2 linked regions of the Rhinolophus ferrumequinum genome follow. The protein of the gene in region 2 purifies or fractionates together with the protein of the main gene of each other region. This does not show direct contact. Links are inferred from orthologs where the notes say so. Each region holds a gene or a part of one and is shown on either strand. Other genes may lie near its edges.

Evidence for each region.
Region 1: the proteins of TULP3 (region 2) and WDR35 purify together in Homo sapiens (affinity purification with mass spectrometry; 5 studies listed by BioGRID and IntAct, counting the BioPlex papers as one, with this or other methods). This does not show direct contact. The link is inferred for Rhinolophus ferrumequinum from reciprocal best matches to the Homo sapiens genes TULP3 and WDR35.

The regions. Positions count from the first base shown.
Region 1 is NC_046296.1:58,844,986-58,851,866, reverse strand, and holds the start of WDR35 (WD repeat-containing protein 35), read right to left. Parts: upstream 3,005-6,881; coding exon 2,981-3,004; intron 2,271-2,980; coding exon 2,153-2,270; intron 1-2,152. Other genes in the region: MATN3 (matrilin-3), read right to left, coding at 6,078-6,133. UniProt on the Homo sapiens protein: As a component of the IFT complex A (IFT-A), a complex required for retrograde ciliary transport and entry into cilia of G protein-coupled receptors (GPCRs), it is involved in ciliogenesis and ciliary protein trafficking.
Region 2 is NC_046293.1:87,867,605-87,875,080, forward strand, and holds the start of TULP3 (tubby-related protein 3), read right to left. Parts: upstream 3,001-7,476; 5' UTR 2,933-3,000; coding exon 2,892-2,932; intron 1-2,891. Other genes in the region: RHNO1 (RAD9, HUS1, RAD1-interacting nuclear orphan protein 1), read right to left, coding at 5,455-6,018, 6,785-6,952. UniProt on the Homo sapiens protein: Negative regulator of the Shh signaling transduction pathway: recruited to primary cilia via association with the IFT complex A (IFT-A) and is required for recruitment of G protein-coupled receptor GPR161 to cilia, a promoter of PKA-dependent basal repression machinery in Shh signaling.

The DNA of each region.
Region 1 (6,881 bases), on a different chromosome or scaffold from region 2:
CACTGATCTTGTTAGAATTTTCCAGCCATATTTCTCATATTTATCTCTTTCAACGTGACTTACACTCATTATGAAGTTCCAAAACAAATAATTTACTCCATTTTCCACTCCTCTCAAGAATTTATTGTTCCATCTTGCTTGCTAATTTCAAAAAAATATTCTAACCCCACTTCATTAAAAGTGCGGAACAGGAAAAGAACTAATTTTTTTTTTGGAAAAGCCTTCATTTTTAAACATAATGAATGCATTTCTTAACATAACTAAAATTTGCTACATATTTTAAGGAAAATAAAAGCGTATATATAAATACATTAATACATACGTCCATATACGTATACTTTTGAGAAACATAAAAAAGAAAAATTATTTTCTTTTAAGATAGTTAACAAGAGAGATTAAATTATTAAACATCAGAAGCCAAACTCTAATTGGTACATAAGTATCTACCTTCCAAATCTGTCTTTTATTTCATATAATTAATCTAGCACATCAAGACAACTATTCTCTGTTTGCTTAGGCTGTTCATGAGCCCTCGTGCACTTGTTAAAAACAAGGGTTTGAAAGTGAGACAATTCGTTTCAACTCCCAGCTCTGTCTGGGATTTTACTGGCTGTGTGACCTTGGACAAGTTATTAACTGATCAGCACCTCAGTCTTCTCATCTGGAATACCTACCTCTCAAGATTATTGTGAAGTCAAACGAAACAGCGAAGGTTAAACATCCCGTGCATAGAAAGTGCTCAATAAATACTTATAAATACACGTTCAAAGCTGTAAAGCAGTGTTACTCAAACTGGGGACTGAGAACCAGCATTATCTGTATCACTAGAAATGCATCTTCTCAGATCCCACCTGGAGCTGAAGCCCAGAAATCCATTTTAGCAACATCAGCAGATGACTCTTATGCCTGATAAAGTTTGAGAAGCAATGTAATTTAGTTCAATCCCTCATTTTACAAACGAGTGAACTAAACCCCAAAGATAGTCAGCAACTTGCTGCAAGTCATTCAGTAGTCTTACGGCAGGGCTGAGAGTCCAACTCCAATCTCCTTATCTAGATCTCCAATTTGAATTGGGGATTGTCTAGATTTCCAATCCAGAACACTAGGGATGCTAAACACCTATGAAACTGTTTGCTATGATACCAGAGAACTAGAAAAAGAGAAATCAAGCTGTAAATACAAGAGACTTATAATAATAAAAATGGTTTTTTAATCCCATTTTCTATTCTTGGGAACGTGGCACATAATTAACATATCTGACAAACAGAAAGGAGAACACAGGCTGTAAAGAATCTGCCAAAATGTACGATTCCGTGACCTCACTGAAATGCTGACTCACCTCATTTTTATTAGATTCCTAATAATATAGCCCAATAAATAGACATAGCACAGACAACAGTGACAGTTTTCATTCTTCATTCTTTTTCATTTTCCATTAAGAACTTCAGCAAAAGCCATCTGACGTTTATTTTCAATATTCTCTGAACTTTACTGCAAAAACACTCTAGTAAAATACCACAAAGTGTTTGGGTTTGGGGGAGGGGACTGTTGTGCAGAGGACCCTGCTCGCTGCACCATGTGTCACGCGGGGTGGCCTGGAGGGTCTGCGGGGGATCCTGCCGACTATGCCATGTGTCATGCAGGGTGTCATGCGGGGTCTCTGCTCCCGCTCCCCACATAAGAACGCAGGACATGGTGAGGCCAAAAAGGAACACCTACGGAGCCATAGATAGGGGAGTCATATTACTATATTCTCGCCAACGGCTGGATTGGAAACACAGGAACCAGGAGCCACACTGTTCGCAACCCTCACTGCACCACTTGTAGGCTCAGCCACCATCTTCTTGCTAGCCCCTATTTTCTACTAGTGTAGCCACAGCAGTTATATTAGTGCCCAATGGCTCACTGGTTACAGCTGACGGCCAACTAGCCACAGCTAATGGCCATTTGATCACAGTCGATGGCCATTTACTACCTGAGCCAGCACCTTTCTATGTGATGCTGAGAGCCTGGAAACTGCTTTTTGGGGCTCTGTTCCCACAGGGGCCCTTTTAAAAAATTAAAATTGCATACTGACAATAACATGAGCAACTCTCAAACAAATGAGCCAATTTTCCGTCAAGTTCAGACATTTGGGCTTGCATTTACTTACCTGTCTGGGTCTCTAATTTCAAAACTTTCAGTAATCCATCTTCACCACCACATGCTATGAATCCTTGGTCCTTGTTCCAAGACACACATTTCAGGCTCACATTATTGGGAATGGCAATCTGAAAAGCAACCACAGCCACTCTCAGCAGTTCGCGAAGGAGTTGGGAAGTGAGAGTCTACAGGAGATGAAGACTGAAGAAAATGCCCCCAAAACGAAAAACGGTCAGCCTTACAGAAGTGTGACTTGTTATGAAAATGGAAACAGTCCCACTGAACTGCGCGGGGCCCCTACCATTCGGAAGAGAAAAAAGTGCACACAAGACAAGGGCAGTGACTACGGAGGAACCCAACGGGGGAGTCGCCTGATGGATTTTTAAAAGGGAGGAGGGGGACACGGAGATATAAATCCATACCATCAGTCCAAATTCCCTGTCCACACACGACACGTAGGCTACCCTTTTGTTAGTATTTTTCTCTCGCTCGGCGACCCGTGATGGTCCAAAGAATTTGAGTCACCTGGCTCACCAACAGGTTTTGGAAAGATAGGGAAGCACGCAGCGGTCTGCCCTGCTGGCGCCGCAAAAGGACCCGGCCAGGGGCAGGAATGGGACAGAAAGGGACAGAGTCGTGCGAGACGGCTGTTGGCTCCGCCAAGGACTATCTGGGACTCGGGCAAGGATGCAGGAGGTCCGATGCTGGACCAGGCAGGAAGGTTGGGGAGGGACTGCGAAACCGCTATCAGGACGCCTAGCTTCGCAGGCGGGATTTGGTCATCTCCCGCAAGATGCGGGAAAGAAGGAGGAGAGAGGGAGCCCCCTGGAAAACTCACTTTCTTGCTCAGGTAAAAGAACATCCTGGGAGCCCGGAGATGACGACCCCAGCCGTCGAGGCCCGCAAGTGGAAACTCGTTCTAAGTCGCCGATCGCCAGTACCAGCGGTCCTTTAAAGCTCCCGTCGCCCTGGCAACCGCCGCCGCCCAGTTGCATCCGGGGCGCCGTGAGACACTTCCGGTGTCGACCGCGCCTCGGCCAGCGGGCCTCGTGCGCCTGCGCGGACGTCGGGGGCTTGTGTCGCCGCGCGGATGGTGAAGCTGTCCCTGGTCTGTGTTTCAGGGGTTTTTCTACTCTTGCGTGGGGCTGGGTCGCTGACCTTTAGTGCCTCAGATGCCCTCAGTCTCCGCGGGCTAGGAGCACTCGCCACACCTTGGATGGTCGCGGTGAAACACGCACGAGGTGTCAGAATCAATTTAGGAGGAAAGGCGCTCATTGAAATGAGGTCGCAATGATTGGGTAGTTTGCAAATCCCCCAAGTCCCAACATTGTGGAACGGGAAAAGTCATTAACTGCACTGGGTAGGCTGACGCCTCCGGGCAAATGAAAATGCAAACCTGCGTTTTCAGAGCTGGCACACCTACCCTTACGCCTTTGGGTGTTGGAGAACCCTCTGGAGCAATTTGGGAGTAAGAGTTTGTGTTTATTCTGTTTGTTTTAGAAATTTTTAACAGCTTATTTAAGCTGTTACTGCAGCCCAAGGGTCCTTATAAAAAGATTATATGAGCTTTGGGCCATCACAGCATATAATTGCCATTGGGGCATAGCTTTCCATTTTTAAATAATTGAGGTGTTTGTTATTTTCTCGCCTGGAGTTAACTGTTCTATATTCTTTTCTACCTTATTTCTTTCTTCAATTCTCCTTTGTCCTCTTTGAATCCCTGGAGAGTTAAAAAGCGCCACAATTTCAGGTAGAGGGCACAAACTCCCGTGAAATTATATCTCACCATTTTTTATTGATCTCTGATTTTCCCTTTTACCATATTCTGTGACTACCACTGTTGATTTGTATAATCTAGTATGTACTTTATGCACTTACAGTGTAGTAGCTAATTCCCCCACCTGGTCTTTTCCCATCTCGAGCAAATAACGTTCAAATCTTTGACCTGAGTCTATTGCTTCTCCCAGAACACTCAAAAATTAACAATGGTCCTTTTCTATCAAATCTAAACCCCAGCTAAAATCAGATCTTCCTTCAATCTTAAAATGTCTTTACCATGGTACCCCCACTCTAAGAATGCCAGTGTGCTTTCTGCAACCCACCATTCCTCTCTGCTTCCAAGGCCATTTTATATATCCTATGATGTTCCTACCCTATTGGCCAGTTGTGCCTCGCCAAACATCGCACCAGTCATGTCTCCCTAAGAAATTCTTTCCAAACTTAATCCCCATCCCATTCAGATAATATATGTATTTGTTTTTAAATGTATGTGTATCTTTTTTCAGTACCAAACTAAATTCCTAAGGTATGTTGGCACCTACTCACAGGATCCTTACACTGGACTCTTGAAGCAAATGAGTATTATCTAAGACGGGATTCCAACCAACTGGTCAAATTTAAGACGTGATTAGTTGAAGCTAGTTACTAATGGTCACATTCTTAAAAAAATCACCTCTAAATACCTTACCCTAGTTCTTGCATGTGAGATCTCATTTATTCCTTCTATAACACCATTGTTCTGTGATATATTATTAATAATATATATTATTGGTTCTGTGCTCAAATAAATTTGGGAAATAATACTGTTCTGTGTCATGTCCTTTCAACATTGTTGAGAAATAACAATATATATTTCATATAATATATGCTGCCTTTGATGGATTTATTTTTCATTTCTTCCCCTTAAAGTTTATATTTTAGATTTTTGACTGTTTCTGGGTTTACATCTGTAGGTTACATTTGCTTTTCAGGCATGTACGTACTCTCATCGTTTTATCTAAATTTAGATAATTTTGTTTTATTCCCTCTCCCACAACTTTTTTGATTAAAGCCTTTCTAGTTAACCTGAACTTACATTTTTTAACTTTAAAAGCATGAGAAGAAATTATAGGAAGAGTCACAACATTGTGTTCTTTGACAAGAAACTGTTATATATTTAACCAATTGTTAATTCAGTTTAAGGAAATATGTTAAAAGACAAAATTGGTATAATAAGTCACCAGAAAAAAGCATGACAATAATATATGAAGATACTTTTTTATTATACTAAAGACAATACAAACAAAAAAAATTAAGTAGTACACAATTTAAAGGATTGATTTCTTCTAAAAGTTATAAGCTTTAAAGCTGAAAAAAATTGTAAGTATCAAATATGTAAGTGAAAAGTTAGGCTTATCACATTTAAAAAGATAACATTAGGTTTTCTTGTTACAGCAATATTTATAAATATATAATTTTATTGACTGGATCCTAAAGTAAATTTAGGATTTTTTGTCTTTGGTAAGAAGTTATGACACTCTTAATTCACAACTAAAGGCTTTAGTTGTGTATCCTTTCTAACATCAGAATGAATTAAAAACGGCATGTAATAGTCACTTGATCTGAATTAAGGAGTTTTAGATATATGTATTATCATCCTCTGATCACAGCTTCAATAATTAGCAAAAAATGAGCAAAAAACAAAAAGTATTAAACAGTTCTAAATCCTCTTCATCTCAATTTAATTAAAATAACTTTTTATGTGTAAATACTTTGTACAACTTTTACTGTCAGTAATAAGGCCGGTTTACACTATAAATACTATCAAGAGAAAATAGATCAAAAGTTCCCATTGTAAATATAACAGTTATCTTACTAATATAAACATTTAAAAATTAAATGGCTCAATTAGTAAAGAAAGAAAGAAATATTAAACTTCTCATTTATTTCCTACCAACCATTTCACAGTCATAGAGACACTAAAGTTTGCTTTTAATAAGGATCTGGACATTTATTTCCTTAGAAAAATGAGACTGATTCTCCAGAAGATCCTCAAACTACTTATCCAGTAATATTCAAGCGTTTGTAATGGCAAATTATTAACAGGAACATTGGAGTATGCAAAAGTATTAAATACACAAAGTTCTCCATATTTCCAGGTGAAAATTTTGAGCAATTTAACGATGTATTTGTCCATATTCATTTGCTTGCAACTTCGCCAAAATGTCATCAAGTGGCTAGTTGTTAAGGCTAACACCATTTATTTTTAGACATTAGAAAACATAAATACACTTTTAAACACTTTAATACAGGATAAAAGAGAATAATCACATCATATTGTAAATGAAGAAAAAGAATGAAATTGTTTTCCCATCAAAAGTCTAATGTATTCTAAAACTCAGAAATTCTATTCTTTAGAGAGCATGATATAAAGCAGTAGTCTTCAAACATTTTTGCTCATAGGTCCCCTAAAATAATTTTGACAAATAAGTGATGTTTTATGCATATTTAAATTACACGAAAATTTTCATAAGTTTAGTAACAAAATATGAATTTTCCGCTATGTTATAAATATTGACTCTCTAAAATAAAATTTAAATTTTAATGTATCCCATGTAATATTAATACCATACTGAATTGATACCTAGTATCATTCTTCTAAAATAAAATATTTACAATAAAGGAATTTGTATTTCCTTTGTTTCTCCACAGAAATTTATTCTACTTTTAATCTTGGAAATCTTTTCTTGATCATCTATTATACTTCTCTGAAGTAAACTTAAACAAAAAAAACCCCACACACATTTATATTGAAATTACCTTTAAATTTTCTTTGACCATCAAAGACCCTAATTTTTTTTAAGTCATCTGGATTGAGTTATCATTACAACTATTATGAGCACATAATGGATCCAAACAACAAATAAATTACAAATTTTGACATTAAAATAAAAAATAAAAGATAACATTTAATTTGAAAG
Region 2 (7,476 bases):
CCAGTGTCTCACCCTCATTACAGTGCCATGTGGTAAAACAGCAAGTGCCATCTTCTTATGAACCATAAAAGGACTACTATAATTCTTTTCAGAACTGTGATCCTCCAGAGGTCCTGTGACTCATGATACAGTGCTCGTCATTAATGTTTTCACAGAAGTTCTAAGGCAAAGAAAGGGGCAGAGATGACAACCCCATTATCAAGACTCACACCAAGTATTGAGCGGATAAAGACAGCATATCAATCAGCATATGGATAATGTGTCTTCTCTCAGGCATCAGTGGATTTAAGCTTTAACCAGGCCAGGAGAATGTTGCAGGTTTCATTATTAAGAACTAAGGACGTCTGATGAGGCCGAATAGATTCAGCAGTACAAAGAGTTTATTCCTAGTGCATTGACTTAGAGGAAATAGAGCGAAAGGCGATGACAGAAAATTCTTGTTTGAAAGAAGCCTTAACAATTCCACTGCGGAACTACTCTCAAATAGAACTCAGGAAATTATCAAGGCCCTTTGAGTCCTAAAGTCCTCAAATACAGAGAAGCAAGGCAGCTTTAACTACTTCTCTGAGTAATTCAAGCATACTTTTCCTCTTGGTAAGAAGAAACGTTAACCTTTTCTTTTAATGGGGACAGATCCAGAGGAAACAAGAGTTTCCACAGAAAGGAAGACGAGAAGCCAGAAATGGAACTATTCCAAAAAATGTCTGAGTCAGTCTGCTTGGACAGGAAGATCTTGGAAGAAAGGAAATGAATTACTTTCTATCCTTTCTAGGTCTGTATGTAGCCTTCACAATTGGTGAAACACATGCATGTTAGATGTTATCAGGCCTTTACTGTACTTTCTGACATTTGCCAAACATACTGTAGTCACGTATTAGTTAATCTAAGAATTTTTAAGCACTGGCTAAGTCTGTTTGCCAACAATTTGTTGATCTGATGAAACATTTTTAAAAAGGAGAACATGAAAAGGATAACAAGCCTGGCCAAGACAGAAGCTCCAGCTACCACTACTGTTCATAGTTCTAAAGAGAAATCGTGGCATATGGATAAACGACAGATGAGGACTTTCTTAGTCACCTCTGGGTCACAAGGTCACATCATACTGCAAAGTCTCTCTTACCACAAGTTCAATTCTTCATCAGGAACAAGAGGCCAGAGCGAGCTCACATTCCAGCACCAGCCAACCACTGTCATCTCCAGGGAATCTATAATGTCAAATGCCTAGTAGGCTCAACAAAGGTCCTGGGTGTTATTTCAAATTCCAGCTCCAATTCTCACTAAATGTTTCAGATATAGGAAAAATATTTGAAGTTTATTTGTTAATAATTTTTCTACTTTGTTGAAAATAAATCTGCCTCATGGTAAAACAGTCACATAATTCAAAGAAGGAAAAAAGTCACAGGAAACTTAAAAGTTGGATGCTATACTTCACATCGAAAGGTATTAATGCCAAAAACTCTTTCAATGTATTTCATGAAAAACATTAAACACACAACCAGGAGCCAAAAAAAGCAAGAGACATTCCACTCTCTCTCTCAACAACAAATGAGTTAAACAGTAATAGAGGCTGCACTAATATTACCTAGGGCAGGAGAAACATTTGGTGACTCACACATTCCCCTTTGATGTCAATTTCTAAATTAAAGAGCTGGTTTCTTTGGGAAGAAGACAGGGGGAAAACTTTAAAATTATCCCTTGAAACTTCAGGTCCAATAAATTAACAATTCTCAATTTCAAAGTCAATTCCATGTTCCCCAACACACACCAAAATCATAAGTCATATCAAACATCTCGTACCCATGAAATTCACTGCCTTAAATTCAGTCAGTTAAGATTTACTGAGTGCCCACAACTGAAGAAATACCATCTGAATTCAACGAAAACGCTCAATTTTAACTTGACATCCTCCGAGCACCTCCATATTTATACTTGCAAAATGTAGGTTATTTTTCTGTCGACTTGAAAAAAAGTGCAGTGAACAAATTCCACACAGCAGTTATTACGTAAATAAAACCTGATGAAAGAAGAAAATGAGTGTTCTTTACCCCAATGCCTCCTTCGCGACGGTTTTAAATGGTTTAGAATTGTTTAAATACCTATTATTCTAAATATCAGACTAAATCCTTACATGCTAAATCTTTATTTGCCGTGGTAACGGTCTAAAAAGAGGAGAGTAGAGTTGAGGTGGAAGATTTAAATCTTCAGACAATGCCAAAGTTTTAAAGCAGTGATTTCGCGCCGCTCCCCATTAACTTTTCATTAAGCTGGCAAAAAAGAAATTGAGATTTCGGGTCGTTTGACTTCTGGCCGAGGTACAAAAAAGGGACATGGCAGAGAAAGGGGAGCTTTGGTACGTTGCAAGCAAGACAGCCAATCCTGACTAAGAGATAATTACTATAAAGGACATCGAAGCAAAAGAATAGTTTTGCGTTTTCAGCCCTCGGATTCTGTTCCAGAATTCAGCTCTGCCGGCCGAAAGCGATGGCTTTAGAGCAAATTATTAAATTTCGCTTCGATGACCCCGGGACAGACTTCATCCAATCTCATGTATGACACTCCTGGGCGGTGCGTGAGGCACAGGGCTAACGCGTTTTGTGAAAGCGAGGCCCGCAGAGGGCAAGGCGAGCTCACAACGAAAACTCCCCGGAGTTTCCCAAGCAGGGACTGAACACCAAGTCCCTGCTCCCGGTGCAGCCGCCGCTCCCCACCGCTCTCCCGGGAAAAGGGAGGGGTCCTCCGCCGCGGAGGGGAGAGGAGGCTGCAAATCAGTCCCTCCCTCCCGCACTTGAGCCCACCGCCCTGTCCTTCAGAGCTTCCAAAGAGGACCGCCACTGTCTCCCTTCGGCCCTCCGCCCCACTCAAGATGAGACCAGCCACCACCCCTTTCTGACCTGTCCCCGCAGGGTCCGAGTCGGCAGCGCGACGCCTCCATCACCGCAGCTCAGAAAGTGGCCAGCACGTCCAGAACCCGCCACCTACTCCGCTGCTAGGGTGGCAAGCCTGGCCAGCAACCGGCCCCGCCCCCTGACAACCGCACCACGCACTGTCGCCACCGCCTATTGGCCCACGGGCCCGCCGCTCCTCTCTTATTGGCTCTTGCCGCGTTGCGGGAGGGTATCTAAGGAACAGAGGAACCCCGAGTTAAAGGCGCCAGCGCCGGCGCCTGCGCCCGCGCGGGGATGACGCGCTAGTTCTGGATCCCTGTAGAGCTCGCCGAGAGGAGAAGGGGCCGAGATGGAAGAATGTGTTTCCGTCAGCGGCGTTGGCTCCCGCCGCCAGGAAGCCAGTGTGTCGGAGGAGCCGCCCAACCCCCACTAACCGCCACACATGGAACGGCCTCCCCGCACCCCCGCGGTTTGCACACAGAAACCATCCCAGAGCGCTTCCCGAGGTCTGTAATGTTAGGGTTTACAGACTTCTGCCAGCTCCCTCACAGTCGGATCCCTTCCGGACACACCAGAGCCTAACCAGGAACCACACTTGTAGCCTCGCCAGCAGTCATTCCCACTGGAATGCATCTTAGAGTTACCTGCTCTGGCCCTCCAACAGCACAGAACTCCCTCAGCCTCCCCGATTCCAGCCCAAGCTTTTAAGGCATTCCTAGACCTGCTCTACACTCTCCTAAGAGTCTTTACTACCGTGTTAACTGAATATAAGACCTACCCAGAACATAAGCCCCAGTTAAGATCTCAGCCAGATGGATACATTTAGTACGTTATGAAGATGTTCCAGAAGATGACATGACTGTATTTGAATAAATGTAGATTGTTGTACATGAAAAAACAAGACATCCCCTGAAAATAAGCCCTAATGGAGCAAAAATTAATATAAGACCCGGTCTCATTTTCAGGGAAACACAGAATTTACCTATGGACCACCTTCAGACATCCAAACACCTTAAGGAAATCCACTATCTACATCTGTACTCTCGTTTCCAATAAATCTTGTCCTCAACCATCACTTCCTTTCTCTCCAACAACTTACATACAGCATTATAGTCCCTACAAAACATCCTGACAGAAGTTATCACAGATTGAGTTTCGTTTATAGCATTCCAAAGTCAAAGCTGTTTCCACATTGCTTTTGAATTTCTAAGAGGCCTAGAGGTTGGCACAAGTTAGAAAAGCAGAGCGTTGCACTTGCTGGGTCAGCCTCCACTGGCTATGTGACACTGAACATGGTTCATTATCTGTGCTTCCAATTCCCATCTATAACAAACAGAATAATCCTCGTCTACCTGAGACTGGACCTGACACAGAGTAGCTTCTTAAAGCTGAGTGAATGGAGTTGCGTGAGATGCTATTTGTATTGGTCAAAGGATTTTGTTGACCGGGCAGTACTGCACTAACATTTTCACTGCGACTTTCGTCTATAGTCCAATGACATTTCCATGCCACTAACTGGGGCATTTGACTTTACCCCACGAGCTCAGGGCTCCAGAAAGGAAGTTTAGGAAAGCAGATGCACATTTTTCTATATTTTTGTGTTGTTCAAAAATGAATAACAATAGGACATTTTTATACTTTAATCATTTCTTTTAATAAAGTGTCGCACCTTAGCTGTATTTACTTAAAAATATAAATACTGTAATTATTTTCTGTGGATTTTTGACACATTTTGGAGAACTTGAAATCAATCAACGCAGTGAAAAGGTTAATTACAATTAGTATTCTCTGAAAAGTTTCCACATTTATTTATATACATTTTAAACAGTTACCCCAAGAAATCATTTTCCCACCTTATTTCTTTACAGCTTTGGCTGGAAATAAAAAATCGAAACACAGCAAACCTAAGTAACTTACACATGTCCCCTTTACCACCCCTGATCCTACTGTTGCCAAACACGGCTTGCTGCTCTTTCTTCAGCACATGAGCCAAGGTTGCACAGGTGGCAGCTCAACTATAAAAAGTCAGAGCTTGCTTTGAGTTTTTTCATCCATCAAGTCATAGACGAAGCTGCCACTGAGCCTGACAGAGTTGGTACTCAAAAATGTGTAATGAATTATTAGTTTGAATGAGGTGATTAAAGGATAAATGAGTAGTGGTAAAAGCAAACAAGGAAGACCTATTATGGAGGGGGCAGTATTGGCACATACTGGCAGTGGGAATCAGGGTTCTCGAAAAATTTTCTGTGGCCATTTATTTACAAACACATTTTAAACAGTTACTACAAGATATTTAAAAATTTTAAACTGTTAATACAAGAAAAATATAAAGTGAACTGTCTATACACTAAAAATTGTTTATAACAACATACTTAAACAAGCAAATCTGGGAACCGAATTCCCTTATGACTCCAGGGCTCTAGTTAAAATACCTTTCTTCTATTGGTGTTATTGGTATTATTTCCATTTTATTCTACTGATGTGCCCTTCTGTGAGCTGGAAAAGTGACTTTAGCAACTCAGTGAAAACCAGCAATCAATTTCTTGAGATTATTGTCTGAGAAATCTAGTCAGTTTTTCACAAGGAACTGGCTATTGCTCAGCTTCCCTCTCTCCTGGAGGTAAGTAAAGAGGTTTCGTCGTCTCCTCCATGTGACCTTTACCCCATACTTCTCCTCAGGAGTGTCTTTAACCAGAACAGGCCCAGGATCCGGGCTCTCGGGAGTATTAGTGTGAAGGGAGTAGTTTGACAGGCTATTTTCCCTCTGATCTGGGGGAATGGGCCCCTCCTTTCCAGAAGATGACTCTGGGGTCTGGATATCAGGTGCAATGAACACATAAGGTAAGTTTTGAAGTGCATGTGCTGACAGTTCCCCACAGCTCTGGGGACTGAGCATTGGAACTAAGCGCCTTCCGGAAATGTCCTTTTCTGATTGACTGAGGCACTCCCTGGTTAAGGGGATCCCAAGTGTGGCTGAACTGGTAGAAGACTGTGGACTCTCAAATGGTAGCTGTGGAAACTTGGAGGTGGTAGATTTTCGACTTGAATGTTTTGCCTGGTCTCGGTGATGACGTTTCCGTTTCCGGTTGGCTGGGAACCAGCTTTCTGCTGTTCCATCAAACTGAGGTGATACCTAAGGATCAAAAAAAAAGGCAAGGATAGCTAAGTACCAAGTATAAACCTAGGTAGGCAACTACATCTAATGACCAGCAACCAGAATCCTAAATGGGACCCACTATAGTAATGGACACAAAACAAAAATACCTGTCTAATGAATGGAACAGTAATAGAAAGGCATGTAAGATTTGGGCAATCTAACATTTAAGTTTCTACTATCGTGGAGCAAGTATTATGCCTTGTCTAAGCAATCCTGAACAAGTTATATTTATTAAGCACTCCTAAGCAGAGTTTATGCTTTTGCTGTACTACTTCCTTGACTTTGGTAGCTATAGTCTCTTCCCAGGGCTTTTAAACTGTCAAAATATGACCCATGCCATTTCTGTGGGGTTTATTTGAGGTTCAATCTATTAACGAGTAAATAGAGTACCTAAATACTCTATACCTCTCATGAAGCTCAGAAAACAATCTCATTTTTCACTAGTTCTGCCATTTATCCGGCTTTCTCACCCAGGTACTGGGTAATGAAACTTTTATACTGAACTCCTTCAGAGGAATGTGGGGGGAAGACTCCAATTCCAACTAACCTATGCCTCAGTTGGAATTTAGAAAAGAAGATATAGCAGAAGAGATGGCTGACAACAGACAGAAAGAGTATACTGCCTCCTTGTCCCTGCTCCCATGAATCTTATTCTTTGGAGGTCCTGGTTCAGCGAGCAGAAAAGTCAGTATTCTGAGAAGCTTAACAGAGTAAAAGTGAAAGTAGGAATCCCACTGCTTACCCAGGAAGTAATAGTGTTGTGGTCAATGGGCTTGCTGGGTGCCCGCACAGTGTGGGTGATGGGATACTGTGGCGATGCATAGCGGTGTTTGGGGCCCTCTAGTGGCTGTTGGTGGAACAGCAGCTGGGCTTTCTGGGACGTTTGGCGGCGTTTTTTTCTGGGAGGCATCAATAGGTGAATGAAGAGCAGTTAGTAACCACATGGTGCTGGCTGTAGTCAGGTCCGGAGAGAAGCTTCCACTCCAACCCATGCCTGCAGAGAAGAAACAAAAGCTCTTCCTCATACTCGTCCAACCAGTCCCACTATCAACTTACCACTCCCACCTCAAGGTTGTGGGGAGCACAGCTTCCTATACCTACACTACCACCTTAAAACACAGTAGTTTACATTCAACATTTGTTCAATGAACATCTATCGAGCATATGTTAAGTGCCATGCTGGATTTTGGGAATTCAAACATGAATAACCATTTATTCCAGGATCATTTATTGAGTGCCAAGCACTTGCTGGGACTCAGAGGTCAGGCTGTCCCTGTTTCAAAGACTTGAGAAAAATCAAGCGGGATAAGGGGTTAGGCTGACTGAGTGCTATTTTGGACAAGGTTGTCAGGGAAGGCCTACCGAGCTTCCCCGAAAATAAGACCTAGCCGGACCATCAGCTCTAATGCGTCTCTTGGAGCAAAACTTAATATA